2 linked regions of the Rhinolophus ferrumequinum genome follow. The protein of the gene in region 1 purifies or fractionates together with the protein of each later gene. This does not show direct contact. Links are inferred from orthologs where the notes say so. Each region holds a gene or a part of one and is shown in the gene's direction. Other genes may lie near its edges. The genes, in order: ETAA1 and RPA2.

Region 1 (16,537 bases):
GAACACATCAAGCGAAACCTAAGATTGAAAAGATGTAAACACAGATCACCTACTTTTAAATCTTGGTTATTGTATATCTTTCTCTGTAGATAAACAATGGCTTAAGAAAAATATTTATCATATAATAGCAAATTTTTCACAACTTTTAATATGTTCTGAGTAGCCTTAGTTAAATTCAGATCTTCAAATATAGTCCTGTTCTTTTGATACCAATCAAAGAAGCAATCTGGAGGATATATAACAGTAATGTTTTTTGGTCTTTCCTACCAGGAAAACCACATTTTTTCTGGTCTTAAAATAAGCTTATGACTGGTTTTCTTATAAGGGTCAAAAAAAAAAGATCCGCAAAAATATCAGCCTAAACAGAAAACACATTTCTCTCCCTGACATAGCCTGGGGCAGTAACACAAGGTCAGCGTGTGTGTGTGTGTGTGTGTGTGTGTGTGAGAGAGAGGAGAGAGAGAGAGAGAGAGAGAGAGAGAGAGAGAGAGAGAGAGAGAGAGAGATATGTGTTATGCTGCTGCTTTTGCTAGATTTTTTTTTGTTCTTCTCTAGCTACACTGTTTTAATTCTCTAAATATTAATCAAATTGGGGAACTAATCCTGAACATGTACCTTTAAGCATAAGGAATAGCTCATAATGATATTAAGCTGCAATCTAACAAGCAATCAGAGACTAAAGAATAATACTATGGTCAAGTCACAAAATAGATGTTGTAATAAAAAAAACTTAAACTTACCACTATGGCATATTACCTTTGTTCTTTTTGCTATTTATGTACTCATCTTGGGTTGGAATAAATACCAACATTTCTTTAGGAATATGGTCTTAATGAAAAATTAAGGATTATGATTATACTCTTGCCAAGTGGGGACTCAGGTTTTACTTTTATGTCTTGGCATCCGTAAGAAAAGAAAAACTATATGTGAAGTTATTTGAAATCTTCCATTCTTATTAATAGCTTCTTTCTGAAGTATGTAAATAATTCTTTTTATTAATACTGGGATAAATTTTCATAGCTTTTCCTAAATCTTACCTCAAAATGCTTTGGAACATAAGGCAGAGGGGAATATAAAGCGACTTTAACAAACCACTGAAGAGTAAGCATTGATTGTAAACCTCCATAACAGCATTGCACCAAGAAGCCAGCATAGAACATGGGCCCTGCCGTCTAGGGCCAGGGTGGACAAACGACTGCCCATGGACCAAATGTAGCCTGCCTGGGGTCTGTTGTTATACAGCTCTCTACTTAAATGGTTTTTACACTTTTAAAGAGTAAACAACGCAAAAGAGAATACGCAACAGAGACAGTTTGTGGCCTGCAAAGCCTAATATATTTACCATGTGGCCTTTTACAGAATTTTGCCAACCTCTGGTCTAGAAGGTCACAACATTGTCAGGAAAAGGAGATGTGTGTATGATCAATGTTAATTGATGAGAGACACAGAACTACATAATCAAGGTCTAGGGTATATTGAATGGACTGAAGGTAAGGTAGGGTTTCAGAGAAAGAGACACTAATCATTGTGAGCCAAAATTATTAGGGGAAGTCCCTGCAGAGGATTGCCTCTGGAATGTTCCTGGGCTCACAAATGACCTGGGGATCTTGTAACCGTGCAGATTCCGATTCAGCACATCTAGGACAGGCTTCAGGTTCTGCATTTCTGACAAGCGCCCAGGCGATACCCAGGTTGTTCCTCCACACACAACATTTTGAGTAGCAAGGACTCAGAGGACAGGGAGGATTTCAAAATGTGACGAGTAGTAAAGGGGCTGTCCATTGATGCACTTAGAAGCCATGGTAACAGGCTTAGGAAAATAATTCAACAGCAGAATAAAGATACCTGTGTTTTTCATATATTTCTTGCCAATGAGAAGACAACCCCCACGGCCCAGTTTTCCCCAACACTGTTACCCAGATTATTGATACTAGACCAAAGCCAAAAGAGTTCTTTACCTTCAAATGAAATACACTAATCATTTTTTTCCAATAGTCTGAAAGACATGAAAAGCCTTGTTGAAAGGAAAATTTTCTTATGCTAGGAACTAAATTAATATGAGCAGAGTTAGTTTTATAATATAGATTTTGCAATTTCTCTCCTATTCATTTTTTACATTCAAATTGATCTAAAATGTTATTTAAAACTTTAATATGTTTTAAATGCTGTAATTTCATCCCTAAACAATCAAAAGCCATTTTCAGCTCTGGCCAGAGTATTCTGTATAAATAACCACTCACCAAAAGAACCATTTGTATCTAGGACAATGCAAGCATCCTTAAGCATGCATTTGGCTAAGCTAACCTAAATACAATTAACAGCTGTAAAAATTTTAAGACTTTATTTTTACTACAACATAAAGAAATTTGTGATAGCCTCAGGTACAGTGGAGCAGTGTTTGAAGTTAAAATTGTGGCGACAAAGTAAATGATACAGATACTGCTGCTTGAAGAAGAGTCAAGGGTGATCTTTAAAATCAGGCTGTCTTCCTGGTATTCAAAAAAGCAAAAACACATAGATGATGACTAGATTCCATTACAGCCAGGAAAAAGAAAGTTATTCACCCCGAATCAGACATTTTGGGGTTGCTCTGAGTCTCCCCCCAAAGTTTCATTTAAAGCAGTAGAGAAAAATGTCTTTGCAAATTACTTCCATGACCCCCACAGCCATTAATCCTGGGTAGATACTGGCCTGATGGGGGTTGATACACGAAATGATCAGAGGGGTTGAATTAAATTAGTGGTACTGCTGAGTGGTACCTGCAGAAAGCACAGTGTGCCAAAACACATGCTCCACTTCAGAACTGAGTTAACCTGCTTTTCTTCCTTCTTACTACCAACATCTGCTCAAATCATTTACAAGTAAGTGTGATTTTGACAAAATTTACAATAATCATCTTGTCCTTAAGAATGGCTTTGGCATCATGCTTTGCAAACAGCATTTCAAATAAAAGCATTTTGCAGCTGACATTTCTCTGTTCCCAATTTGTGCCTTCCAATAAACACTGAGAAACAATTAGATTAAAATCATATATGGTGATGGAAGGAGAACTGATTTGAATGGTGAGCACACAATGTGATATATGGATGATGTATTATAGAAATGCACACTTGAAAACTATGTAATTTTACTAAAACCACTGTCACCCCAATACATTTAATTAAAAAGATATATAATCCTTGATCCCAAGCTTTGTTTTAGTTCAGCTTTTGTGGATATAAGGAATACAGACTAACCTGCATTAGCTAACTCAAGGAAAGGAAGTTTACTGCAAAGGGTCTGCATTGAAAGAGAAAAGGAAATGACTGAAATTACAGTAGAATCTGGCCTTAGGGGCATGGAGCTGAATGGTTGGCTCAGTTTCCAGGTGTGTGGAATCTATAGATGTTAATTCCAATGGCCCTGGCAGTGTAACACTGCTGCTTCTGTCTATTCCAGTATTAGCAGTCTTTCTTGTAATTTCTGGCCCCCCATGGTTTTGCACACAGCCCTCTAGCAAATTCTTCAGATCTCCAAGAGGAAATGATTGTCTCCATGTCTCTTTTTGTGAGTCAGCAGTAGAGAGCCAGCCTATAGAGTGGTACCCAAAGTCAGCTGTCCACCTCTAGTCCATTCAGATTCATCTGCTTGGGGTCACCTGGTAGGACCAAAATCAGTCAGGCAGCAGAGGCTCTTGATGAAGTTCCCTCAGAAGAGGGATAGGCATGGTAGGTGATTTTAATTACAATTGCTGGTAGGTCAGGACAGAGGAAAAATGGGCCCAGTACTTAACCAAGTACATTTTGGAGTATATTTTAGAAACAGAGTAACAAGATTGTAAAAAAATGATCTACTCATTTTGTTGCCTGTTCAGATACTGCCACTTGTATCCTGATAGACTTGGAGCTGGGGCAGGGCTCTATACACAAACTGTGCTACATAATAACACATTATGATTTTTGTTATTTTTTTTTTCATGAAACAAAAACTTCTCACAATTAGTCCAGCAAATAGTATCATTGTAATGTAAGTGACAAGGCAATAACCCCACAAAAAAAGCTACTTAACAACAAACTCTCAATGTCTCAATTTTTTGTTTAATAAACACTGTCAAGTTTATGGATAATTTCTGCAACTAAAAAAGTGAGAGTTTAGAGGAGATCCAAGATGGCAGAGTAGATAAACGCTGTGCTTGCTTCATCCCATGAACACATCAAAATTACAACTAAATTATAAACCAATCAGCCTGAAGAACCATCTAAAGTCTAGCTGAACAGAAGTATCATAACTATGAAGAAGACACCTAAAGACTAGTAGGAGGGGAGGGGATGTGAAATGGGGTTGATCCCACACCTACATTTGGCGGTTCAAAATTGGAAGCGATATCCCACAGAGGTTCCCCATGAAGGAGTGAGGGACCCCAGACTGCCACACCAGGCTCCCTAGAATAGATTACTGACAAAGGGAAGGAGAGCCCCCACAACAACTGGTTGTGAAAAACAGTGGGGATTCTGACCATCTGGATGGGATGAAAGACAGGGGGAAACCCAGACATCCTCTTAACGGGCCCGGGCAGGCACTCACCCTGGACTCTGGCAGAGGGACAGTGACTCTGGGGGCGTCGGAGACATGGGGAGAGACTGAGTTGTGTAACTTTGGGGCAAGGACTGGAAGGACAGTCCCCATTTTCCCTGAGTGGGGCGCTCCTCTCATACAGTCGGCAGGCAGAAGCCATCTTTCCTGTATTGAGTCCGCCCCCACAGGCCAAATCTGAATCTAATTGACCTGATGAGCTCTGCTGCTCCCTGCTGCTAATTCACTGAGATCCTGCCTCTCCCAATTTGCATACATCATGAGGCTTTATCAGTGATTGAAACTTACCAGAGCCTGCAGGGGACAGCAGGCCTAGGAGTGTCCTGGCTTTTTGCACAGCTACCCCAGGCCTGGTACTGGTGGCAGCTGTCCTCGATTCGCAGCATGGCCTCTCCCACATAACTCCAGGTACAGCACAGGCAGCGAACAACAGACAATTACTTTGTAGCTCCTACCAGGTAGTCACAGGCACTGGGTGACCTGGGCCTTCCCTGGAGCCCCTCCCAAGAGGCCCCAGAAACAACATACTTGGAGGTTGGCTTCAACCACAGCAGAGCACCACCCAATTAGCCCCACAAGCAGCATATAAAAAGGATGGTACCAACAGATGGCAGAGCCTGGTAGGACGATTATCACTCAGCGAGTTAAGCCCCCTGCACAGCAGCCTATAAGCTGTGGACATGGCGAAACCCTATAGCCAGTCAGCTTGAAGGTTAATACCAAACACTGGCATGCCAACAGCAACCAAGGTTCAACTATACTGTGTTTCCCCAAAAATAAGACCTAGCCGGACCATCAGCTCTAATGCATCTTTTGGAGCAAAAATTAATATAAGACCCAGTCTTATTTTACTATAATATTAAGACTGGGTCTTATATAAGATTGGGTCTTATTTTACTATAAGACCAGGTTTTATATAATTTATAATATAATACAATATAATGTAATATAATACCTGGTCTTATTTTACTATAAGACTTATATAAGACCGGGTCTTATATTAGTTTTTGCTCCAAAGGACGCATTAGAGCTGATGGTCTGGCTAGGTCTTATTTTCAGGGAAACACAGTAACAGGAAGGCACACACAACCCACAAGGGACATTTCTAGAGCACCTAGTGCAGGTGAACAAGGAGACTGTGCCACTGGGCCCGACAGGACACCTACTACATAAGGCCACCAGGCCAAGACTGGGGCACACAGTAGATCTACCTAATACATAGAAACAAAGAGAGGCAGCCAAAATGAGGAAACAAAGAAATCCATCCCAAATGAAAGAATGGGAGAAAACTTCAGAAAAAGAACTAAAGAAAATGGAGGTAAGCTACCTACCAGAGACAGAGTTCAAAACATTGGTTATAAGGATGCTCAAGGAGCTTAGTGAGAACTTCAACAAAGAGATAGCACACATTAAAAAGGACATAGAAACCATAAAAAAGAACCAGTCAGAAGTGAAGAATACAATAACTGAAATGAAGAATGCACTAGAAGGAATCACCATCATCCATATGTTCATTGCAGCATTATTTACAATGGCCAAGATATGGAGGCAGCCTGGGTATCCATCAATGGAAGAATGGATAAAGAGGAGGTGGTACATATATACAATGGAATATTGCTTGGTCATGGAAGAGAATGGGTTCTGGCCATCTATGGAGGCATGGATGGACCTGGAGGGTATTGTGCTGAGTGAAATGTCAGAGAAAGACAAATGCAATGTGATTTTGCTTATATGTAGAATCTGAAGAATAAAATTAATAAATGAAACAGAAATAGACTCAGACACAGAAAACATTTTGATGGTTGGCAGACTGGGGGGTGGGGGCAGTTGACAGGGTGGGTGAAAAAAGGGAAGGGATTAAGAAACATAAATTGGTTGTTACAAAGTAGTCATGGAGATGTAGGGTATAGCATAAGGATTATAGTCAATATTGTAATAACTATGTATGGTGCCAGGTGGGTACTTAAACTAGTCACTAGGAATCACTTCTTAAATTATATAAATGTCTAACCATAAGCTGTACACCTGAAATTAATATAAAATATTTCAGTCAACTGTAACTGAAAAATTTAAAAAGGGGGCAAAGGTGATGGGCAATATGTTGTCTAAATTTCCGGGTATACAACTAGTTAAGTCATGGGGCTGTAATGTACAGCGTGGGAAATACAGTCAATAATATTGTGATAGCATAGTACAGTGTCAGATGGTTGCTGGACTTATGATGGTGATCACTTCTTTAGGTATATAAATGTTGAATAACTATTATGTACACCTGAAACTAATATAATATTGTATGCTAACTATAGTTTTAATAAAAATCTTTTTAAAAGAAATAAGAGTTTAACTTTGGTTTATTAAAAATAGTTCATTGTATTAAACCTTACTTAAGCGTATATGTACATATTATTCAAATGCCTAGAAATGCTAAGTTTTGGCATTTTTAATCATATTGCATTTAAATGTCTATAAGGCTTATCTTTTGTTTATTAAGAACATTTTATCAATGAGTTTTTTTGTACTGTACTTATTCAGGAGTTATGCTCAGGAAGTACATTTAATTTGAATTACATTAGAACTGTAACAGATTGTTTGAATTAAGCAATATTTAAGCTAAAACTTATGACAGTTTCCTATCACATAATGATTACAATTACAGCCATCCTGGATAGGCTAAAGTAAAAACACACGTCTGTTCTTTGGGCTCGAGTTATTCCTTTTTACAATGGTTACCTGGGTACTACAGAATTTGGATAGTTATGGGAAATTATTGACTGTTATTTCATTTGCAGTATTAATATGATTTAAAGGATTACCACATGGTTATTACTCCTATAGGAATTAGGAAATTCTTCAAACTTCTTTAACTACTTTCTAAGTGTAAGTTGGGAATTTTTCAGAGTAAGTTAAGTCTTTGAGACCACCATGATGCCATCTATTTAATAAAACGTTGTAGTGGACATTCGAGGTTTTTTTTTTTTCCTGCCTCTGGGATTCTTGGTCAGTTGAGAGGTAGAAGAAATCCCCAAGAGAAATAACAGTATACCTATCCATTTATATTAATTAGGCAACTAGAAGTTCAAGTAGTTAATTTGAATTTTCAGAGATGTAATTTCCCAAGCAGTCATATCTAGTTATAAATATATAAAACTAGAATAATGGTTTAAAAATATGTAAAAGTAATCATGGCAAGGAAAATAGGAGAAAGTCAAGGACTGAGGAAAAAGGATGACATTATTTGGTCACGATGGTTGGCATAATTGTTAGAACTGAACCTCAAGTTTAGTTCTAGGATTCCTGGTAGCCAAACTGAAGAATAAAAACAGGAAATTACAAAGAAGAAATATATGTCAGTTCCTCATGGAAACAAAAATTTTGCCTTACATTAAAATTTTAAAACATTTTTATTGATAAATATAACATATATACAGAAAAGTACACAAAACAACATGTTCAGCTCAATGAATTATCACAAATCCAAAACTAAAACAAGACAATGAACAAAACCAACACATCCCTCCCTCTCCTTTTAATGATGGTCCATTCTCTCCTCCACAAAGTAATCATTATCCTGACTTTTATGGTAACCACTCCTGGATGGTTCTTTATAATTTTATCACTTAAGCTTACATTTTTATACAATATAGTTTAATTTTGCCTCTTGAAATTTATATAAATGGAATTATATAGTATTCTGGGGAAGGAAGTGGTGGAGTCTGGCCTGTTTGCTCAACTTTATGAGATTTTGCCACATTGTTGTAAAGAGTTGTAGTTTGCGTTTTCATTACTATGTAGCATTTTGTTGAGCAAACATAGCTCAATATATTTACCCACTATACTGTTGAAGAGGCTTTGGTTTGCTTCCAGTTTGGGGTAATTTTGAATTTTACTGCTTAAAGCATTTTTATAAAATGTATCTTGATCCACACGTACCTAGATTTTTCCATTGTTTATAGTCCTAGGAGTGGGATTGCTAGATCAAGAACTGGTTTCCAAAGTGGCTGTACCAAGGTATACTCTCACCAACAGTATGTTACAGTTCCCATTGTGGGGTCCTCTGGTTATCCATCTCCCACAGGCTTCAGTCAAGGCTGGGGCTGTGCTCTCATGTCTTGTCTGGTTTATTTCCTTGATACCAGTATTGTATCTTGTCAATTTTAGCCATTCTGCTGGTTGCAGAGGTTAAAATCACATTGTGGTTTTAATTTTCATTCTTTTCTTTACAAATGTGGTTGAGCACCTTTCTACAAGTTTGTTGATTATTTAGATTTTCTTTTGGAGAGCCTGCTACAGTATCTGACCCATTCTTCTTATTGGTGGTCAATCATTTTCTTAATAACATATCAATTCTTCATATATTTCACATATAGGGCCTTAATTTTATCTCTTATACATATCTTCTCCCAGTCTGTACTTCGCTTTTCATTTATTTTCTTTAATGTTGTCTTTGGATAGACAGAAGATCTCAAGTTATCAATTTAATGTAGTCAAATTTATAATTATTTTCTTTATAGTTGGTGACCTTTTTGGTCAATTTAAAATTCATTCTGTCATAAAGACAATTTACATCAACTTCTAGAATGTTAATTATTTTATCATTTACAATTAAATATATAATCAATTGGCACTTGATTTTGGGATACGGTATGAGGTATTGGTTAAGTTTCTGTGTGAATATCAAATTGACCAAGCCCTATTTATTATCAAAAAGTCCTTTCCCACGGCTCGGGAAGGTTGTCTTTATCTTAAATCAAGTGTCCATTTACTTAAAGGTCCATTCTAAGCTTTTTGTTGTTTCTTTCATCTATTTGTCTATCCTTTCACCATTGTTACACTGTCTTAATTACTTTATAAGTCTTGATAACTGGTAGATATCCAAGTTCATTATCCTTCAAGAGTTTCCTGGATATTTTAAGCCTTTTGCATTTCCATATACATTTTAAAATAAACTTGTCATAACACACACACACACACACACAGTCCTACTGCAATTTTGCATGGATTTTCACCGAATCTATAGATCAATTTAAGAACTGACATTGTAACAATATGGAGTCTTGCAACCTGTGAATATTATTATTATCCTTTATTTAGGTGTTCAATTTCTTTCAAAAATAGTTCATAATTGTCTTTGTAGGGGTATTGCAATCTTTGGTTAAATTTATACCTAGTTATTTGATATCTTGTATGCTATTATAAATTGTGTTTCTTTAAGAAGTCAATATGTTATAAATCAATTGAAACACAATTGATCTTTGAATATTAACTTTGCATCAGCTACTGTTAATTGATGAATTTAATAATTTGTCCTACATTTTTTGGATTTTTCTATGCACATATCATCTATGAAAAAATATTTTTTGCTTCCTTCCTAACTTATACTTTTATTTCCTTTTCTTTAACATACTAAAACCCACAGTAATCTGAACGAATAATGTGTAATTCTAGTTGTAAATGCAATAAAAAGATGCCAATGGATTCAATCTTCTTTTCACCTCTCCTGCTGTCACTCTCAGTTACTATGGACACACCTGTGATCCTTACACTCCTTTTCAATGCTGATCAATCTGAGCAGAGCCCAGCAAGGTCGGAAGCAGGCTGCGGAAGCGCGCTCCCCAAGCACGCCGACCGCACCGCCCCCCGCCCGGACGCAGCCAATCAGCGGCCGCCTCTTACCAGCGCGCCATCGGCAAAAATGGCGGCGGCCGTTAACGCAGGGTCTCGCTTTTAACTCCATTGCTCTACTTCTCCCGTGCAAAATGTGAAAGGAGAAACGGCTGGTGGAGGGGGTCCTAGGCAATGAATCGGCGAAGAAAACATGGGGACAGCCCTGGTCTGATGAACACGCCGCCCAAAGCGGCGGCGGCTGACGAATGCACCTCGGTGGTGGAGCCAGGGAAGAGGCGGCTTAGGTCGGCCCGCAGATCGGGGCTCCGCGGGGTCAGAGACGGGTCTCCCGGGCCCATGCCGCAGCAAGAGCAGCCTCCAGCAGCCGCTTCGTGCAGTAAAAGTAACCCCGAGGGTGAGACGTGGGCAGCGCGGCCTTTCTGGGCTTCGGCACTGTAGCCCCACAGCCGAACTTGCAGCTGGGAAATTTGGGGTGGGAGTGGGGGTGGAGTCTGAAGGATGTTTTCTTTCTCTGGGCTTCTCCCCTCGGAGTCCAAAAGTAACCTGACACACTTCCCACGGCTTTAGTCCCCGAATTTGAGCACTGCCCTGTTAGGTTTGACCACTCACTTGTCGCCCCTGCCACAAGAATAGGCCGTGTGGGGTTTACCTGTTTTAAGGGAGGACGGCTGATTGCTAGGCTGCTCCTCCAGTTAGCAGCAGAGGCAGAGTGAGGAGAAATAATGTGATAGACCTGTTGTCTTCAGCTTATTCTTAGGGGGATTATTCCCGCTTAACCATTTTGCCCTGACTTGCTTCAGCGAAGGGACCCTGTGAAAAGCTATAGCTATATCCTCGAAGCCTCCGTGATGTCTCACTTCTTTATGAATAAACCAGAAGTTCCCATGTGTAAGGTCCCTCAAAGGAGGAAACTGAGGGTTCCGGAATATTTCATTCTGATCAATTTTTGGTGTTCCATTTTTAAAAGATTTTTAATAAATTCCAGTGGGAACTGAAACTCATTCTAAAGTTCTTTACTACAGTGTGTTCTTAAAATACGGCTTTTGTTAACTTGGCTTCACTTCACTTCCACAAAGCAACACCGGAATAAACAAAAACAAATCTCTGCAAATTTAAAACTGATACTAGATAGAACTTTCTAAGAAATGGATAACTGAATTTTTTTGAAATAATTGGTGTCAGATAAAGTTGGTGAAAGCGGACTGAACAGACTTTTACTGAAGTTTCTGTTGAGATGTTCTTGATTTTTGAAATGTATAAATTACAGGTGGTTTCCAAAGCCTCAAAGTTCCAGTGATAATGAATGGAGTGACTAGGGTATATATAGTATTATACATTCATAGAGCTACTAGAGTATCTTAAAATACTTGCTATTTACAATGTTAAATTTGTGAAGTATTACAGGGATTGTTATGTGAAACATTTCAGTTGTGGAAGTAATATCTCTGGGAGAAAAGTTTATAATTGAACTATAAAAAGTAATCGTGTCTAAGCTATTATTTAATATTGAGGTATTATGAAGTGCAACAATTTAAAATGCAACAATTGTTATTTTAATCTCATGTAGAAAGGTATGAAACACCAAAGAGAGTGCTGAAAATGGATTTATTGTCATCTACCTTCAGTTCTCCTAATGATCCAGATGGACAGACTGATATCTTTTGGGATCAAAATTCTCCGATGACAAAACAGTTAGGTAAATTGTTACTTACATTTTTATCTGGATAACGGTTTCATAAATGATTAGGATTTTACTTACAGAATTTCAGTCGGTAACATCAGAATTTTTCACAATGGATGCTTTTTGAGAATCTTATGTGATTGTCCTGCTGTGATAGGCAGGTGATCTCAGAGAGCATAGTGCTCTTAGCCATGCTCATTGTTTTCTAAGAAGTGACCGCTATTATTAAAAATCAAGTTTTTTATTTACAATTTATAGAAATGTCTTTGTTTCTTTAGGTAAAGGAAGAAGAAAACAGATTTACACCACAGATAGTGATGAGATCTCACATATTGTTAATCGAATTGCTCCTCAGGTAAATATCACTAGTTTTATAATTGATTTTAAAACTGAAAAATATGCCATTAAGTCCTTGTATAGTTCTTTACATGAAAAATGTTTTGTTTTTTACAATTCTCTTTTCTGAAAATAGAGCGGTAAGGATGACGTTTACCTCTCCTACTACTGAGATTTATGTTTTGAAAAAAGAAACAATGTAAAATTGATGATATATGTTTCCCTCAGCCTAATATTTTACTTAATTTTTTAGAGTGATGATTTTTTATTAGAGCTTTGTGTTTGTTTTGTGTTTAATATTGTTTAACAATATATGGCATGGTTTTTCAAGTTACTAAAATAATAGAATCAGATAATAAAAATTTAAACTTTTAAGTTTTATGATTGCATTGTTTACTGTTCATAGCATACCTCTTCCCCATCGAAACTGCTATGAATACTATTGACTTACAAGATCATCAAGAAAAAATTGTAAAAGCTGTACTAGATGACCCTAAACAAGTCACTTAAGCTTTCAGAACTTCAGTTCATTCAGCCATAAACTAGAATTACTTGTCTTGCTCTCTTTATTGGATTATTATGAGGATTAAATTAGATAAAAATTCTTTGTAAACTAGAGAGCACTATAAATGTAAGGTTATGTTAAAGTTAATTATGATAGTTAAATTATTTGCTGTAATAGAACCATCTGCAAAAGTTTTTCTTTATTTCATTTCTTGTACTGCTTAAGTGAAATCGAAATAATAAGTTCAAGTCAACCTTTGTTCTGAACCTCTTTCCTCTCTCTTTTCCATATTTAACAACGTTTAAATTCAGAAAACATCCAATTTTTACTTAGTGTCTTTTCTGTAGGAAGTAGAGTATTTTTCCTTGGCATGCCCATGGACAGTGACTATATCTGTATATTGATGGTAAACAGTTGATGGCACTGTCCCAAACTGTGGTTACAAGGAATCACCATAATCCAGGTGGAGGAGACAAGAAATAAGGTTTTTCTTAGGAGCTATAAAATATCCGAAATTACAACTAGCACAGTCAAAACAGCTCTGTTCCTACTAGCTCTACATTCCATGTTTGGCATGTCATACAAATTCATTTTACATATGGTTCATTAGTTAAATAGCATTTATACCATAATACTGCTTACTTCATGAGTTAACAATAGACTTCATTAATTGTGGGTTTCACATGAAAGAAGCACAATAAAATGTGTTTGGGCTGGCCAGCCTAAATAGTGATAAAAAGATAGTTGAGTGAATTATTGGACTCTTTACCTAAGTGGGCTGGAAATAATAGCTCACATGAAGAAATGGCAACAGTATGCAAGTGGTAACTTGTGTATAAGAAAAAAATACAGTGAAATTAGTTCCTTTTAAATGATACCCTTTTTAGCTGAGCACTTTTAAAACATAAATCTTTGGTAGTATCGGGGTCTTTTTAAAAGCTTTTAAAAAGTGTTCTCAGAATGACATAATCATGTTTATTTTTAGGTATGTTATCTCAAATAATTATTTAAGTCACTTGATATTTTCAGACATGGCATTTAAAAAATATGCACTTTCATTTTAATTGGACAGTCATTTTACTTGCTTCAAGGATACTTTTTATATAATGTTGTTTATTTGAAGATGGTGTACAAGGTGTGACAATTAAGTTTGCGAACTCATCCTAGAAAAAGTACTACATAGCTCATTGCTGAATATCACTATGGTCACCTTCGAAGTACTCCCGTTGGGAAGCGATGCACCAACCCCAGTGCCTAGTCCACCCCTGAAAGCAGTTTTGGAACTCTTTTCCTAGAATGGCCATCAGAGCTGTCGTCATATTACCGTTGATGTTCTGAATGGCATCAAAATGTCTTCCTTTCAATATTTCCTTTATCGTCGGGTAAAGAAAGAAGTCATTGGGGGCCAGATCAGGTGAGTAGAGAATGTGTTCCAATACAGTTATTTGTTTACTGGCTAAAAACTCCCTCACAGACAGTGCCATGTGAGCTGGTGCATTGTCGTGATGCAAGAGCCATGAATTGTTGGCAAAAAGTTCAGGTTGTCTAACTTTTTCATGCAGCCTTTTCAGTACTTCCAAATAGTAAACTTGGTTAACTGTTTGTCCAGTTGGCACAAGTTTAAAATGATTAATACCTCTGATAATCAAAAAAGGTTAGCAACATCATTGCAACAAGTTCGCGAACTTAACTGTCAGACCTCATATATTTTTTCCATCATTTTTATATAACTACACAGTGTACTCTTAGGATTAAATGAAGTAATATATTTAGGTACCTTATAAAGCATCTGGATTGCATTGTGTTATTATCAATGAAGAAATTTTTAAAATATAACACAAATAGTATAAAAAACATACAAAAGACCCATATCTATATAAAAGTGGATATATAAAGTTGTCATACTTTTATTCTCTAAAAATCGAATAAATTTAAAATTACTTGGTAAATGGATAAAAGAATCCATAATTAAATCATCTTTAAGAGTGTCATTTTCCCCAACTTCAAGGTTGTTGTTGAAATAAAAATGGAAAATATATAGTGAAAGTGAAATTATTATTTTTTTTTTTTTAGTATTTTGCAAAGCTAAAATCTAGGTTCAACTGGACATCTAAGAAAACTGCTTGTTGATCAATTAAGGACTCTAGTAAATAAACATGAACTGACATCTTTTTTTCATCATTTTGCTAGATGCTGAACTATCATAAGAATAGTCCTTGCCTTCAAGTAATTTATAATCTAGTGATAAGATTATTTGTACCTTGTGTGATAATTATGTTTATTCTAGGTACTATAAAAATACATTAGAAAATGGTTAACCTATTTGATGTGTTGGTTTGCTTTGTAACTAATGCATAAATTCATTCTTCAATATTTTGTGCGATCAAGTGACTGAAAGACATAACAAAAATATATAGGACTGAAACAGCTTTTCCCCTACCTTATTCTTCGCACCAATTCTAACCTTGTACTCATCTCTAACTCAGTCCTTACCGTAATTCTGTGTAAGCCTTTTTAATTCAGGTCAGTATGGATTGTCCAACTTTTGGAGATAAAGATTATAATGGGGATAGCAAAAATTTGAAGACAGGTGATATAGAAAGAATTCCATATGTATCTCTCTTTATTGTTAATTCTGTTGTTTTCTGCTATACGGTTTGTTTCTAATATTAATATTTATTTTTATGAATATCTTATAAGTTGATCAGTTTTCTTTTGATAAAAACGTGCTTTTTATTAAATATGCATTTGTTAAATAATCAAATTACTAAAACTACATTTTTTTGAAAATAAGGAATTCCCAATTCTGAATGTTTTCATTTCCTGAAACATAAATGCATCACTTCTTGCAACTTGTTATTACCATCTTCTAGCTTCTTATTGTTTTGGAGATTGATTAGTAGCTATCACCTTACCAGAATTGATTACTTTAGAAAATAATTCAGTGTAGTTCAAGGTTTTTTTATTCTTTTTCTTTTTTCTTTTTCTTATTTTTGTACTTTACTTTTGTACCTCTTTTTTCCACCTTCTGCCAAGGTTGAAAAACCAACAACAGACTCCATGCTGGGTGTATGGATTGGTGCAACTGCTATTCCTTGTACTCCTACTGTAGCAAAGGGAAAATCAAGAGCAAAAAGCTGCACAAAGTAAGTTCAAGCTTTTTAGCTTTTCAGATATTCAGTGAAGTAAATATTTTTAGTAATATGCTGCTTTGGTGTGCTGAATATATCAAAAGGAAATTTTTTTTCCTTAGTTTTGACAAGTAACATTTTGAACTTAAAATCATTATAACGTAGGTTTTAAAATTTTCAAGTGTTATCATGTGTTAAATAACAATTGAATGTTACAATGACTCTTAGACTTTTTCTTGGTTATAATTTTTTAAATATTTGTTTAATAGGTTTAAAACACAAACTCGAGAGGAAGAACTTATGAAATTGGCTAAGCAATTTGATAAAAATATGGAAGAGCTAGATGTGACTCAAGAGCAAAACAAGAGAAATCATGATTTTATCTACATGATTTCAGAAGCAGAGACTTTAAATAATTATAAAGATAATGTGCAGATGCAGTTATTACTTGACGTAGTTCCCGAAGTAGATAATGTTATAATGAAGAAGTCAATGAAAGAAAACACCATGGTATCTGTGGTAAATGATCAAAATAGCAGTCAGAAGTCATTTGACCAAAATGTTGAAGTAGCCCTTAATGCCATTTTTGATGGTTCTACTCAGAAATGTAGCGGACAGTTAAGCCAAGATCTGTCAGATGCTTTTTGTAACACGATTAATACTACCTTTGGAAAGAGAAGTGCTTTG
Region 2 (16,536 bases), on another chromosome or scaffold:
ATGTAACAAGGCCCTGAGATTAATCATAAAATTCCTTTTGGCCGGACAAATGGAGCAGATCTGATAGATAAGATCTGATTTGCTAATTCCTTTAGGATGGGCAAGCAGAACAAACCTGGTAGACGAATTTCATTAGAAGGCGCCAGTTCCCTTCTTCAAACAGTTCCCTTCTCCAAACAGCTCCCCTTCCCCAAACAGGCAAGGGAAGGTATAAAAATAAGAGCTTTTGCTTCAGTCACGGGCACCCCCCATTCGGGACCCTCTCCCGCTCTGGAGCTGCAACCTCTTCTCCTGCTTCTAATAAAGTATCTTCTTTTTTAAAACTTTTTGCCTCTCCCTGGTCCGTGTTTCCATTCTTCGGCTTCACGAGACACGATCCTGGCCCGCACTCAGAAACTGCTGGCAGATCCAACATCACCTACATCAACTAGACTAGAAATTGGAACAAGGGGGCAAGTTCTGAAGGGGTTTAGATGTTCCTTGTATACCCATCGAGGGGTGCTAGAGTCCCACTCTGCTTTTGGCTGGATGTGGCAGCTTCTTTTAAATACCTCAGCGTTTTGGTCAGTGTCCCCAGAAGGCCCTCATCACCATCACCATCACCATCACCACCACTAACACGTAAGTTATGTCTGTGCAAGTAGAAAAAGGCACGCCTCTAGGCCTTTGTGTGAATTAGAAAAAGGTGCCTCCATCCCAGATACACATCTGGGGCTCAGAGTGGAGTTGGGGGCGGATTTCAGCCCCCACTCAGCCCTCTGCCAGGAGCTTACTACCTAAATGACAGTGGCTTCTTCCTGGGCCCAGCCTGACCTTCTGGACCCATCTGTGCTGGGTTTACTGGAAGAGGTGAGGCAGAGAAATCTGAATGGTTGGGACTTTGGCTCCTTAAGTACAAAACAGTCCCTCTTCAAATTGCCCACAGCATTTCTTCGACTCGTGGCAATTATAATCTCCGGACAATCCCCACACTCTTAGAGAAAAGCACTTTGTATAAAAGCTGTAAGAGGCCAGCATTCTTCATGATTTTGCTGTAGCTCTTTCAGTCCTGTCACCTGAGCAGTGCATATGAAACAAACCCCCTGGTAGCAAAGCACAGGGCAGTGTGGGGACAGCCCTCAAGTGCTCGTGACCTTTGTCCATTCCTGGCCTCAGAGCGTCTGGGAAGCCAGGTTGCAGCTATGGTTGGCCTGGGGTTCAAGTCCACAGAGGGCTTAGTCCAAGAAGGTCATGAATGGGGCCACAACAGAATCCATGAATGTCGACATCTAGTCCAGTCACTCTAAGGCGAAGACACATTGATGTTTTGCTTTCGTTCATTCACACATTCATTTAACAAATATTTATGAAGCGACCTCTGTGAGCCAGTTACTGTGCCAGGTGCTGGCAATACAATGGTGAACAAAAATAGAGTTTAGTGAGAGAAATAGGCTTTAGTAAGATTCATACAGATAAATGTAAAATTATGACTGTGCTAGTGCCAGTTTGGAAGCAATTCTAAGGACCTTGAACTTTTTCCTATTGCTCATGGGGAACCACTGAAAGCTTTGGAGCAAGGGAGTGAAAAGATCTTAGAATAATTACTTGAATTTTCCATTTGCAGCAGCAGTGACTGCTCCAAAAGAATGAATATCTAGTGATGAAATCTGAGAAGGCTCAAATTATACCACATATTCTGTGTCTTCTCTAAGCTGGACTGTTTTTAATGGTTGATCCTTAAAGATCCCAGAGAGAAAATCTGAAGCTGGCCACAATGAAAACTCAGCATGGCCATATATGAACTGAAGAAGTCTGCTTCTGCTTTTGAATTCAGGAACTCCTATTTCTCTTTGTCACCTAGATTCAAAACTAGAGTCAGTTCAGAGTTAGTGTAGCTCTTGGCAATTAATAGGCACTAAATATATTTGTTAAACAAATGTAGGTGGAGTAAACAAAACTGACAGGATGAATAAAAAATTAACAAAGACATCTTCAACCTTTCGCTTTCCTTTGACTTCTGTTTTCTTTGTCCCTCTCTTTCCCACTCCCTCTGCCTTGGTCCAGGCCCACATCATCGCAACCTTGATTGTTCCTCCAGCGTCCTGATAGATCACCGTCTCCAGTCCTGGGCAGTCTCTGGCCTGTGCACACTCCCTCCCTCTGGAAGTGATCACGTAACTCGCCTGCTCCCAAACCTTCAGTGGCTCCCCATCGTCGTGGGGAAAAGTCCAGAGTTCTTAGCATGATATCCAGATTGGGCAGTGTCACCTCTTTGTGGGGTATCTCTCTTACCATCTGTCCTCCCAGGCACCTTTCCTCTTCCTGGGGACCTCTTTATAATTGTAAATATTTTTGAGAAAAGTGAGTATATATAAGCCCTTATTACTCCCTCTGTTAGCTTGATGGGACAACAGCACCAAAGTACTGAGTATTTGGGAGTAAAGATGTGCTGACACGGGTGAGGAGATGGGCAAAAAAAGACACAGGGAAGGAAGGACAACGCATCATAGTTAAGAGCTGGACTCGGGAGTCACATCGAGCTGGCTTCAGTCGGGGTCCTCTCTTTACCAGCTCTGTGACCTCAGACTCATTACTCAGTCTCACCCATACTGGCCAAGCACACTGGTGCATCACTGAAAGGTTACAGGAGCAAGGAAATATTCATCCATAACTCAGTCAGGCAGGCTGGGCTTAGGCAGCCAGAGACCCCAATCTGACCCCTCTGAAAGGTGACGAACCTTGGTTTCACTGGGATTGGAGGGGTTCCCAGGACAAAGGACTTTCAATTTTAAAACTGGGAAAGTCCTGATTCCAGTGCTCACCCTGCACCTTTGGCTCCTGTCAGCCTCATGTGCTTAATCCAGTGTGCCATACAAGCATTATTTTCTACATGTGCTTATGAATTGGAGAAGGTTGGGAAGCTCAGTTTCCTCATCTGGAAAATGGGATGACAATAGTGCTTACCTCATTTGGTTGTTGTGAAGATGAAGTGAATAAAGCAGGACTTTTCGATCCTGCCCTCTTGACCTGGAGGCATGCCCAGATCCTATCTATGTCTTTACCAATCGAATGCCCTTTGCTCCAAGGTATTCAAAACACTATCCACAATTTACCTGTCAGTGTAACAAATGTAAGGTATAGCAACATGCTGTGTTAAATTGGAAAAATAAATACAAACTCCTAACCTTAAAAAATAAATGTTTTCCTTGCTGAGTGACTACTAAGAAAGCTCGAAGAGCAGCAGGGCCCTGCCCACGGACAACTCTCAGAGGCTCACGTGTATCGTTCTCCGAAGGAGGGGCGCTGAATTCAAGTCTTGGGAAAAGAAAAAAAATTAAGCTGATGGGAGTCGAACGTCCTCAGGTTACCAGGAAGCCAGAAGGCTTTAAAAAACATCCACAGTGCTGATAGGACAAAGGAACCAACCTCTCACTGGCCAAGATGTGACAACTGCAGCATCAATAATAGCATGATAATTATTTTATTGTTGTCATTGTTATAGTTACTGGAACAAGTAGAATCTGTGAAAGGCCATGAGTTAATGATGACAATCCAAATAGAAAAAGCACAGAAAGGTAGTTGAAACACACAAGAATGGTGACTTTATAAGACATGTTTAACTTTTTTTTGTTTTAATAAGTAATGTTAACACATACAGGTGCTTTGCTTCTTTGATTGATTAGATGTCTTTTTACAAAGTATACATTCATACTTGTTCCCACCTGGGTAAGGAAGCAACTCATAGACCTGTGAGAAGTCAAATAGTGCTGGCCCAGGGGAACTGTGGGTAGAAAAAGAAGGGCTGATGGGCTGGGCTGTTCACACACAGTAACCAAGTGGGAGGTAAGGAGAACAGGGAGCTCCAAGAACTAATTAGCCAACCATCCTAGAGTCCTGTTAACTCCACAGATTCTATTCCTCCTCTTGTAGGAAGTGAAACCTTCAGGTAACCCTATGAATATAACAAAATAACGTATTTTCGAACTTGCAAAAGTTCCCATCAATATATCCAACAGGACAACAGGTTATATAATGCTGACAAGTGATACCGAAAGCCCATGACTTTGAGGAAAGACATTAGGTTGCAAAAAATTAAAACCTATGAGAAATGTGTGACTTAAAAAGTCTTACAAACATTACAAAGGGAAGCTCAGCTTGGTAATCTGTGGCTTGGTGACAGTCCCCTTGGACCACACAATCGAGTCTTGAGTCCTGACCAAAAATCAATGGATTGAAGACCCAGATCCAATGACGTCAAGTGAACTAAGATGACATTCCTTTTTCTTTTCAGTCTGATTAGATTTTTGAAAACCCAGAAAGGAATAAAAATAATATCACAGAACCCCTGGGACGATAACAACATAAATAAAGCCATGATCCATGGAGGCAGGGACAGAAGGCTCCAGATTTTGTGGAGCCTGAAGCTTATACAATTTGTGTGGCCCTATTTAAGAAAAAGAATGCAAAGTAAAGTATAAAAATAAATATGTATCTAGACAAAAGAAGGGGCCTTGGAAGACGCTGGGAAAGTGAGGGGCCCTGAATCTTAAAAGTCATTAGCTAATGACTTAAAAAAAAACTATAATTTTTGTGTTTTGTCTGTTCTTTAAGATATTTGAAGTATTCATAAGAATTGGCCATACTAAAACTTTAACTGCAGTTTAAAATTTTAAGGATATTTAATAAAGTTTGTAAACAATTTTTAAATACCAAAAAGATTGATTTCAAGTTTTATTAGCTATAAGTTTAATAAAATGAGCATTAAACAAATAATTGTGGGTGTTCTGCCACATATAAAGCCTCTCTGATACTAAAATAATTCTATCAGTATTAACCAATTCATAATTATTACTAGAAAAATAAAATCAGTACAATATAAAGCTGAAAATTGCTACTCCACCCAGTAAAATTCTTAGACAAAAAACAATTTGGAAAACCACATTTTACATATAACACTGAAAACTGCAAAAAAATCCCCTGAATCAAATTGTACTTGATAGAAATAATGAGGATCCATAAAACTACAGTGGCAGATGTGAAAAATCAGTAAAAATTAGTATGGATAAAATTTGGGTGATGAATTAAACCCTCATTGTATAGTTTGCCCAGGAAAAGATTGATCTACATAAAGATGATTTCAGCAAAATTTAAAATGGGAAAAATTAGAAATGGCTAACTCTCACTGTACAAAAAAATTGAATAGGGAATCCAATATAAATGAAATTTCATCAATGTTGGGACAGTTCTGATTAAAATGTGTGTGTTTATAAAGTGGAGGCAAATTGACCTTGGAGGTTAAAATGGCAGTCAAAAACTTTGGGAGATAATGTATATTAAGCTTTTAGAAGAGATAATGCATTCTGGCATGTATTAAGTAAACACCAAAGTGGTTAAAAAATTTTTTTCATTGTGTTAAAATACAAATAATATTTTACCGTTTTAACCATTTTTAAGTGTACAGTTCAATGGCATTAGCTACATTCATGTTGTTGGGCAACCATGACCACTATCTGTCTCCAGAACGGTCCTTCCCAAACAGAAACTCTGTGTCCATTAAACAATAACTCCCTATTCTTCCCTCTCTCCAGCATCTGGCAACCGTTGTTCTACGCTGTTCTACTTTCTGTCCCTGTAAACTTGACTTTTTTTTTTTTTTAAGATTTTTATTGGGGAAGGGGAACAGGACTTTATTGGGGAACAGTGTATACTTCCAGGCCTGTTTTCCAAGTCAAGTTGTTGTCCTTTCAATCTTAGTTGTGGAGGGTGCCATTCAGCTTCAAGTTGTTGTCCTTTCAGTCTTAGTTGTGGAGGACGCAGCTCAGCTCCAGGTCCAGTTGCCGCTGCTAGTTGCAGGGGGCACAGCCCACCATCCCTTGCAGGAGTTGAACCCGCAACCTTGTGGTTGAGAGGATGCGCTCCAACCAACTGAGCCATCCAGGAGCTCAGCGGCAGCTCAGCTCAAGGTGCCGTGTTCAATCTTAGTTGCAGGGGGCGCTGCCCACCATCCCTTGAGGGAGTCGAGGAATCAAACTGGCAACCTTGTGGTTGAGAGCCCACTGGCCCATGTGGGTATCGAACCGGCAGCCTTCCGAGTTAGGAGCATGGAGCTCTAACCGCCTGAGCCACCGGGCCGGCCCTAAATTTGACTATTTTAAGGTACCTCATATAAATGGAATCATATAATATTTGTCCTCTTATGACTGGCTTATTTCATTTGCATATCTTCAAGGTTTATCTATATTGTAGCATGTATTAGAATTTCCTTCTTTTTTAAGGCTGAATAATTCCATTGTATGTCCATCCCACATTTTGTTTATCCATTCATGTGTCAATGGATACTTGGGTTGCTTCCACCTTTTGTCTAATTCTGCCATGAACATGGGTGTATAAGCGTCTATTTTGAATAAAGCTGCCATGAACGTGGGTATACAAGCATCTATTTTGAGTCCCTGTTTCCATCTTTGGGATATATGCTGCTGGATCATATGGTGATTCTATTTCTATTGTTTGAGGAATTGCCATACTGTTTTCCATAGTCGCTGCACCATTTTACATTCTAACAGTGCACAGGGTTCCAATTTCTCCACATCCTCACCAATATTTGCTGTTATCTATTTTTTTAAAAAGCAAAAGTATCTTTATTCAATAAAGATCTACTCCAAAAGCAGAGCAGAGGTGGCCTCCGAGCAAGAGACAACCTGGTGTTTTCTATTTCTATGTAATTATGGCCATCCTAATGGGTGTGTGTCACCAGATTGGTTTTTTGGTTTTCTTTTTGTTTTTAACAGGACTTTATTGGGGAACAGTGTGTACTTCCAGGACTTTTCCAAGTCAATTTGTTGTCCTTTCAATCTTAGTTGTGGAGGGCCCAGTTCAGCTGCATCCAGTTGCTGTTGTTAGTTGCAGGGGGGCGCAGCCCACCATCCCTTGTGGGAGTCGAACTGGCAACCTTGTGATTGAGAGCCTGCACCCCAACCGAGCTATCTGGCCACCTGGGAGCGGAGCGGCAGCTCATTGACTTCATTCTAGTTGCGAAGGGCACAGCTTGCTGGCCCCTGTGGGAATCGAACCGGCAGCCCCATTGCCCAGAGCTCATGCTCTAACCAACTGAGCCACCCGTCCGCCCCACCAGATTGTTTTTAAAGGATGATTTCTCCATTTCTCAGTCTTGCTGTGGATTTCCCTGATTGTAGCCTACCTAAAGAGGGAAATGGAAGACTTCTTGGAAATTGCTATGTGACAGGAAGCTTGCAACTTGACAAAACTAAACCTTGAGAGATGAATTCACTAACACACACACACACAAACACACACACGAGTTTTTTATTTTATTTTTATTTTATTTTTATATTTTTATTATATAAAAATTATATATTATATATAATATAATATATAATTTATTATATATTTATATTTAATTTTTATTTTATTTTTATTTTAGCACTGATTGAGAACTGAGCCCTCAATTTATCAGTTTTTCAAGCTCTTGAAAAGATGTGCAAAACTCTTTGATGGTTTGTATTCTGTTATACTTTAAGACATTTTAATTTCATTTTATTTTTAAATGTATGGTCTTCACAGTTGAAGTTGAAGTTATAACTGGTTAAACCCCAAATAAGGCCAATTGACTCAAGTGAATACACATCTTGAATGTCCCAGAATAATCTTAATTTCAAACATTTTATCCTATATATCATAAATATGCCCTTACTTGTCAGAGTATGTAAGTTTCAATCACCTTAGGCTTAATATAAGAATGTCTTTTTGGTATACCTCAGGTTTTATTCCTCAGCAATGATTTGGAGGCTTACAGAATTTACAAAGTAACATCTGGCCCACAGATATCTTTTCTTTGGCCTACATAATGTTTTTTTAATAGTTGATTTGTTTAAAAACACTTATTTGTTTAAAAACACAGAAAATTTTACACAAAAATTCAAATTTCTGACATCTGCTAAAACAAATAGATGATCTGGCAACACTAGATCCATAGTCTTTATGTCAGTTGCTATTTACCATTATGCTTGTGTGGTTATTTTTCTTACTGTGGAGAAAAAAAAGTTTTTTAAATTGTCGTCTATTATCCAACCCACTACATTAGCAGTTTTCCTGCCTGACCCCAGTTGTCATCTGAGTTTGTTTAGGATGTTCAAAAAGGTATAATAACGACACTGGTTGACAAAATCAGACTTCCTGGGCTTGAATGCAGGCTCCCAAAACTTAGACTTTCTATACCTCAGTTTCCTTAACTGTAAAATGGGGACAATACACTAACCTACTTCACAGGACTGAATTAATAAATATAAAATGCTTAAGACAGTGACTGAAGTTTTAATAAATAAAAAATAAAACAGTCCAGAAGCCCAGGGACCCGGTCTACCTTAACCATTGGCCAGTACAGAGCTTAGAACAAAAGAGACATCAAATAATTTTAAATAAATGAGAAGAGTATGTCTAACACCCTATTAGTATTTACAGCAAGGAACTAACAGACATGTTCTACTCTCCATAGGAGGAGCACAACCGCATTATATGAAGAATAGTTGAAGCAACCCAGGATGCGGAGCTAGATTAGAGTCAGGACAGGTGGGATGAACCCAGTCCTCAGTTTTTGAAAGGCCATCGTGGGGAAAAGAATGTAGATTTCTTATACCTTCACTGGGAAGAATCAGGGCCACGGGGTGGCAATACAAGAAGAGAACTTGACTCTTTACGTTAAAGAATAAGCAATCCCACGAGGTGCTGCGAAACTACGTAGTACTGTGAATTACCCGTGTGCGCAAATCCCGGGCGACCGCCAGGCGGAGACATCGAACCAGGAATTGTACTATGACGTTTTAGACCAAGGCGTCTTGAAAATTTGGCGGGAAACCCCCGAATAAAGTGACGTAAGATGCCGCTTATTGATGGGGGTGGGATTATATGGTCCTGAGATGAGGAAGTATTGTTGGATTGGTTGTTTTTTTGAGATACTGCCTCATCAGCATCCAAGGATCCTTGCTTCCGCTTGCGCGAAGTGTTTTGCCCTTAGTCAACATGGCCGTGAAGGCTTCTGGCCCTACTGGGAGCGTAGTGCCTGTATTCAGTAACATGGCCAGCGAAGAACGGAAAAAGCGTAATATTAGCGAGCTTTGATTGGCTGAAGCAAGAAGACTTCTGGACACTGATTGGCTCCGTCATTCGCGGGAAGGTGTCTGTGGCGCCAGCGAAAAGTAGATACAGCGCTGGGGCCGCAGTAAGATTCTGAGGCGTCCGGCGAAGCCAGCCGACCTGAGCTTTCTGGGCCTTTTTCGAAGAAATTGTGACCATGATGTGGAATAGTAATGATGAGTGGGGCGGAGGATGAGAATCGCAACAATTTAGCAAAGAGGGCTGGGGGGTCGGAGAGGCATGTGGCGGCGGGAGGGAGGAGAGTTGGGGGAGGTGCTGGAGCCAGAGGTGGGGCCGTTTGGGGGCCTGGGAAAGGTGGTCGGGAAGATTAGGAAGATGCTGGGACTGTTTGGGGTGCGGGGATTGAGGTCTCAGGGGACCCGTGGGTTTTTCAGGAGCTTGGAAAGCAGCCCAGATACTAATACTACTGTTATTTAAAACCAGGTGGATATGAAAGCTATGGCAGCTCTACCTTTGGGGGAGCCGGCGGCTACACACAGTCCGCTGGGGGCTTTGGATCGCCGACACCTTCTCAGGCAGAAAAGAAATCAGTAAGTTGAAAGAGTATTTTATTTTATCTGTCCTAAAGCTCATAACTCATCCATGGGAGAACATTTCTGCGGCGAAGGAAGGGTATTAAACCTGAGCTGATCCGATAATTATCTATTACTATCTTATCGAGTCTTATAATTAAATGCTGTAAGTTTGAAATAGGAATCTCCCCTAATGTTGCATCCGCTATTGTTTCCTTGGCTTTATTTTGAAATTTTACCAAGATAGCTAATGAATCAGTTTTGTAGAAAAACTGAACTTGTATTAATAGCCTAATTTATGTTCTATGTTTTCCAAAGTCGTTTTTTAATTAAACGTAGTGAGGTGATTTAATGTGGTGGAAAGAGCATGGTCTTTGAAGTCAAGTCATATATAGATCTATGCTCTCTACCACTACTTGCAGGGTATCATTGGACAAATTTCTTAACTTTCTTGGAAGTCAGTTTTGCACCTACTACATGGGATTGATAATACATGCTTTACAAGGTTGTTGCGAGACTTAATATTATATATAAAGTGCTTGCCCCAAGTCCCTTTCAATAAATGGTCCTAGGTACTATTTGTGACCAAGATGTGGAATAGTAATGATGCCTGGGGTGGAGGATGAGAATCGCAACAATTTAGCAAAGAAAGCTGGGGGGGGTCAGAGTTGGGGGAGGTGCCAGAGCCAGAGGTGAACCTGAGCATTGGAGCCAGAATACATAATGTCAGGAATCACCTTTGCCTTTTAACTGGCAATGTGAGTTTAGTGTAGCAACATGAACCCTTGGTTTTGTTGGTCCTTGGGTTTTTTTCATCTGATAATGGTACTAGTATTACTTATGTCACAGGGTGGTTCTGAGAATTGATAAATAAGCTAATGTATAAGAAAGTATTCTGTAAAAAGCTGTCCAAATGCTTGTTATTTACTCTCCCCCCCCCTTTCTTCCGCCTCCCCACACGCACACACTCCGGTTCAAGCCGTAGTTTTCTAGTTCTAGTTGTGAAGGACACAGCTCCCTGGCCCATGCTGGTATTATGAGCCTGGCGCTCCCCGGGCTGAGCCACTCACAGCAGCTCTCGTTGGCCACCAGTCACTCACTCTGGCTGCTGGTCACTCATGCTGGCCACTGGCTGCTCATGGCAGCACACAGTAGCTCACAGCAGCTTACACCCACCTCTGGCTGCTCACAGCAGCCCAGCTGCAGGGAGAGCTGTCTCCAGGGAGAGCTGTTGTTCACAATCTTAGCTGTAGAGGGCGCAGCTCACTGGCCCATGTAGGAATTAAACTGGTGATCTTGGTGTTTGGAGCAGGGCACTCCAACCACCTGAGCCACCAGGACGGTCCTATTTACTCTTTCAGAAAAGAGTTTGCAATTAACAACTGTTGATTTCATTCTTTAAATACAGGATTAATTTGGCTTCTCTTTAGGTGTCATTCTGATGTGTTAAGATTCAGTATTAGCAGGTTCTGTGTTTTGTGTACAGGTTGATAAGCTTTTACATAAACTGTTAATTCAGGGGTAGGTATAGTTGGGAAAGAATCCACTGATAATTCTCATACATTTGGATATTGCTTTATACTTTTCATATAAATTATTTCATATAACCCAATAAGGTATTGTTTCCTCCATTGTACAACAGAGAGGCTCAGGGAGATTGAGATTCCCTAAGCTTACATAGTAAGTAACTGGAACCAGACAGTGCCCACAGGGCGCTGAGCAAATCCAAAATCTGGTAAGCAGCTGCTTCTCTGTTGTAGCTTTCTTTTTCCTGGGAAGACCAGAGGAGACTATAGTCTTCTTTGAGGCTGTGAAGATGAGAACAGAAGATAGATAATTCTCATCTTTTTTCCCTAAGCTTCACTATTTTTCTTCATTCCATTTGTTAGAATTTTTATCTCAGGACCCCTAGCTTGGGCTATGTACTAAGACAGCTTTTCAGAGAATGATGACAGTTATAAGCTGGAGACTCAAACTCAGGTCTTTCTGTGTTTAAAATCTAGTGCTTTTTGCACAGTAAAAGATAAATGTCCTATTTAAATGTTTCCTACTGACTATAAACCTGTTATATTTGATTGAATTCTGAAGTTTCTGATGTTTTACCTGTAAAAATGGTAGGTTCCTACAGTACTTCAGAGTACAGTACTTCACAGTAGTAGTTCATAGGCAGCTACAAAATAATTTTTTAAAAATTAAATGTAACTTGTGCCGAATCTCTTTGGAACAAACCAGGAGCTCTTTTCAATCGGTTCCTGGCACATAATAGGTGCTCATTTAAAAAAAAACAAATAACTGTAACTTGAGATGAATTTGAAGGTATTACTGACACCTCAATAATTACCCATATGTAACTTTTTTACCTGAGGAGTAATAATATTTTTTGCACCTGTGTAGAGATTGGTATTAGCACTTTTATGTATATGTTTCATTTATAACTTGAAAGGTAGATATCCTCATTTTACAGAGGAGGTAGGTGATGGTATGTCCTGGGCCGTGAAGCTGGGATTTGAACACAGGTCTATAGTACTGTCTGGCTCCAAAGCCCATGTCTTGCTGCTGTTACCATCATGGTTCTTAGCTTTCTTATGCTGAAGATACAATAAAAATCTCAGTTGTGATAGATGAAAACAAAATATAGATTCTGAGAGCTAAATCTGGGACTTTAGCAAATTTTAAATCTATAAATACTAATATAGCATATAACTTCACCTATAAAGTACCATAAAGTTAAATTGAAAAATATAGTCGATTCCTTCACATCCTTATTAAAAGCTATTGCAGATATAAAGAGTGAGGAACAATAGCTGACATAATAATTGCTAACATTTATTGAGTGTATGTGATGTACCAGGTAGTATTCCAGGTACTGCACCATACATTTCATTTTTCATAGTGATTTTATCATTCCTAGTTTTATAGATGAAACCGAGGTACAGATGAGTTGAGAAACGTAACCAAAAGCACACTGCTCCTGTGTGGTAGAGCCATAATCTTAACCCTCAAGCTTGGCTGCCGCCTGTTGTGGCATGTGTTCTGGTGGTTGGCTGGGCTTGTTTTCTACCATCCTACAAATACTCACTATTCAAAATTATGCTTCAGCAAGGTGAAATGTTGCTAGTGTCATGGGCCTTCAGGGCAAAGCTGCAACTGCTAATTCTATGAAGGCCAAGAGCCTACTATGTGCGGTCTTGTAGTAGATAGAACAATTATTGGGTTACTTCCCATTGATTTCTGACAAGAACTCTAATCTTTAACTGACCATGCTTTTCCTGTCTTGTATATAGTTTCTCTATTAGTCTGTGGGAGTGCATATTTACCTTCAGTCTGTAATGCTCATTCCTCGGCCACTTTTTTCACTGTCAAATTGTTTCTGCCTCAAGGTCTAGTCTAAATGCTCCCTCTTCTTAAAATCACCAATAAATATCTCTTGATAGCCCAGGTAGCGCTTTTCATTCTATAATGTATCAATATCAAGTTTGTTATTTATATTTTTACCTCCCCTAGTTTAGGAGTGTGTTACGGGCAAACTGTACTCATCTTTATGTTGCCCAGACAACCCCTAGCCAGTTATAGGCAAAAAGAAGAGTTTACGCTGTTGTTTGACTGCTGCAGGCTGGGATTTGAGTGTCCTCACCAGACATTCTTCTGTCCATCATATTCTGTCCCTTCCTTTTAAGATGTCTAGTGTGTTGAGAATATTATGCTAAGTGAAATAAGTGAGACAGAAAAAGTCGAGAACCATATGACTTCACTGCTATGTGGGATATAAAACTGAAAGCAACAAAGGAACAAGACAAATAAAGAAAACTCATAGACACAGACAATAGTTCAGTGGTTTCAAGGGGGTAGGGGGGATAGTATAATAGAAGAGGGTAAAGGGGGTCAAATACATGGTGATGGAAGGAGAACTGACTCTGGGTGGTGAACACACAATGTGCTATATCGGTGATATATTACGGAATTGTACACTTGAAACCTGTGTAATTTTACTAACCATTGTTACCCCAATAAATTTTAGTTAAAAAAAAAAAAAGATGTCTAGTGTGGCCAAGCCCTTATCCCATTTTCCCTAGGACTTCCAGCCAATTGTCAGAACATCCGTCCTAAAGGAAGTTATACCTCTAACTTTTTGTTACATTTTTTAATGAGATTTAGAATAACTCCATCGTTCTGTCTCCACTGGCCATTCAAATACCAGCTCATCTCATCAGTGACAAATAGCCAGTTTCAGTTTGCCTTCATCCTAAAGCTGAAGTTTCCTCTTAAAGAGCTGTTCAGGAAGCAGGCCATTCCTTATGCTGTCCCCACTCCAGTCTACTCGTTTTGGTGAATCTCTGTTACAACACAAACTTGGGGCTGGCCCGGTGGCTCAGGCGGTTGGAGCTCCGTGCTCCTAACTCCGAAGGCTGCTGGTTCAATTCCCACATGGGCCAGTGGGCTCTCAACCACAAGGTTGCCGGTTCGATTCCTCATGTCCCGCAAGGGATGGTGGGCTCCGCCCCCTGCAACTAAGATTGAACACGGCACCTTGAGCTGAGCTGCCGCTGAGCTCCCAGATGGCTCGGTTGGAGTGAGTCCTCTCAACCACAAGGTTGCCGGTTCGACTCCCACAAGTGATGGTGGGCCGCGCACCCTGCAACTAGCAACGGCAACTGGACCTGGAGCTGAACTGCGCCCCCCACAACTAAGTCTGAAAGGACAACAACTTGAAGCTGAACGCACCCTCCACAACTAAGATTGAAAGGACAACAACGTGACTTGGAAAAAAGTCCTGGAAGTACACACTGTTCCCCAATAAAGTCCTGTTCCCCTTCCCCAGTAAAATCTTTAAAAAAAAAAGAATTGAAAAAAAACCCACAAACTTACCCATTCATCAGGAGCTTTGGAGTCAAACAAACCTGGGTTTGAATTCTAAAGTGTGGCATTTGTTAGCTATATGACCTTGGTTTCCATCGCTGAAGCAAGGGTAATGAGGCTTGTTTTGCAGATCCAATGTTGCACGTAGCACGTGTTAAATGAATGGTAGTTACTATTTTCTTAATTGAATTTATGCATACTCTTTCAGAGATCCCGAGCCCATCACATTGTACCCTGTACCATATCTCAGCTTCTTTCTGCCACTCTGATTGATGAAGTGTTCAGAATTGGGAATGTTGAGATTTCACAGGTATGTAAAATAATTTGTGGAAGAGTCACTTAATCATACGAAGGATGAAATAAAAATTACTTCATTTAAAAATACATAAATGTTACAGCTATATTCAATGTCAGAGGGGTAGTAGACTGGGGGAGAGGGGCTATCACTTTGTGAGGGGTGTCAATGTCTAACTATTACATTGTTTTGTACACCTGCAACTTAAATAAATAAACAAACATAAATGTTGCTTTGGTATAGAAGAAAACCAAACTTTTTTTTTCTTCTGATCTAGGTCACTATTGTGGGGATAATCAGACATGCAGAGAAGGCTCCAACCAACATTGTTTACAAAATAGATGACATGACAGCTGCACCCATGGATGTTAGACAGTGGGTTGACACAGATGTAAGCTGTGTGGGATTTTGAATTTTGAATTAGGGTGGGGTTACTTTGGGACTTCAGAGATGGTGGACTTTTTTAGTCTTCCTTTTTAAAAGTCTTTATAAAAATAATACATAAGCAAGACAGCAAAAGCAATAACCTTGAAATGAAACGTTAATACATTTGATTTCATAGAAGTTTAAAACCTAAACTTACCAAAATACTATAAACAAAGTTAAAAGTGACAGGAAGCACTAGAATGTGAACTCAGAACAAGGATTTTTATGTTGGCACTGTATTCCCAGCACCTAGAACAGTTCCAGTTACATAGTGGGCCCTGAGTAAATATTTAAATAAAGGGGAAAATTTTTTGCAGCATATTACAAACATTTAAAATTTTTAATTAGTGAAAAGCTCTTATAAAACAACGGAAAACTCAAAAAGCAACTGCACCTTAGAAGCATGGGCAAATAAGATGCACAGATAATTCATAATAGATGAACTCTAAATTGCAGCAACAATAACAAAAGCAGGTTTAATAAAATTAAGATACCATTTTTAACTTACTAAATTAGCAAAGAAAAAAATAGAATGGCAGTGGCCACTTAGCATAAGAGCTGTAGTTAACACAGTGCTTCTAGCACTTAGTACACATTTAATTTTTTGAATGATATGTCTCTATTTGGGGAAGTAGATATTATCCTACTCTGATGGTATAAGTATAAATTGGTTTGACCTTTCTCAGAAACCAGCTGATGATCAAAATCATCTATCATAAAAATGTTGACCTCGCACGCCACTGCTAGAGATTTACATTAAGGAACTAAATACATGTGCAATAATTCAGTTGTGAGAATGTTGATCATAGCATTGTTTATAATGAAAATAAACCTAAATTCAAAATGCTGGCAATAGGGTGTTACTAATTAAACCATGGTATATTTATAGAATAAATGATATAGAAATGTATATGTTGTCACAAAGAAGTGTTGGCCATAAATTGTTGAGAGGAAGAGAGTATGTCACACAATAGTATGCATAGTATGAGTATGACCCCATTTTTTGTAAAGTAGCATGTATATGGAGAAAATAGACTGAAAGAAAATAAATTCTCTTTGTACTTTTTATTTTTTAATTGGGCAGAAGCCCTCTTGAGTTTTTTATGTTTAAAATACATTGTAGAAAGAAATAAAATACATGATAGAAAATTTGGATAATAAGCACTTGGTATGCTATTTTCACTTCAGAAACCACAAGTCATCTATGGTTATGTGTTCTTTAATTTTTGTTTCTCAGAAAAATACAGGATAATTTATTCAGTAGTCACTGTTGGAATAAGATTCTGAACCAAATTG

What was found.
Region 2: the proteins of ETAA1 (region 1) and RPA2 purify together in Homo sapiens (affinity purification with western blotting; 4 studies listed by BioGRID, with this or other methods). This does not show direct contact. The link is inferred for Rhinolophus ferrumequinum from reciprocal best matches to the Homo sapiens genes ETAA1 and RPA2.

The regions. Positions count from the first base shown.
Region 1 is NC_046296.1:22,963,593-22,980,129, reverse strand, and holds the start of ETAA1 (ewing's tumor-associated antigen 1), read left to right. Parts: upstream 1-10,265; 5' UTR 10,266-10,368; coding exon 10,369-10,591; intron 10,592-11,764; coding exon 11,765-11,893; intron 11,894-12,156; coding exon 12,157-12,233; intron 12,234-15,755; coding exon 15,756-15,865; intron 15,866-16,119; coding exon 16,120-16,537. UniProt on the Homo sapiens protein: Replication stress response protein that accumulates at DNA damage sites and promotes replication fork progression and integrity.
Region 2 is NC_046292.1:19,143,649-19,160,184, reverse strand, and holds the start of RPA2 (replication protein A 32 kDa subunit), read left to right. Parts: upstream 1-9,079; 5' UTR 9,080-9,286; coding exon 9,287-9,305; intron 9,306-9,570; coding exon 9,571-9,680; intron 9,681-14,727; coding exon 14,728-14,829; intron 14,830-15,091; coding exon 15,092-15,205; intron 15,206-16,536. UniProt on the Homo sapiens protein: As part of the heterotrimeric replication protein A complex (RPA/RP-A), binds and stabilizes single-stranded DNA intermediates that form during DNA replication or upon DNA stress.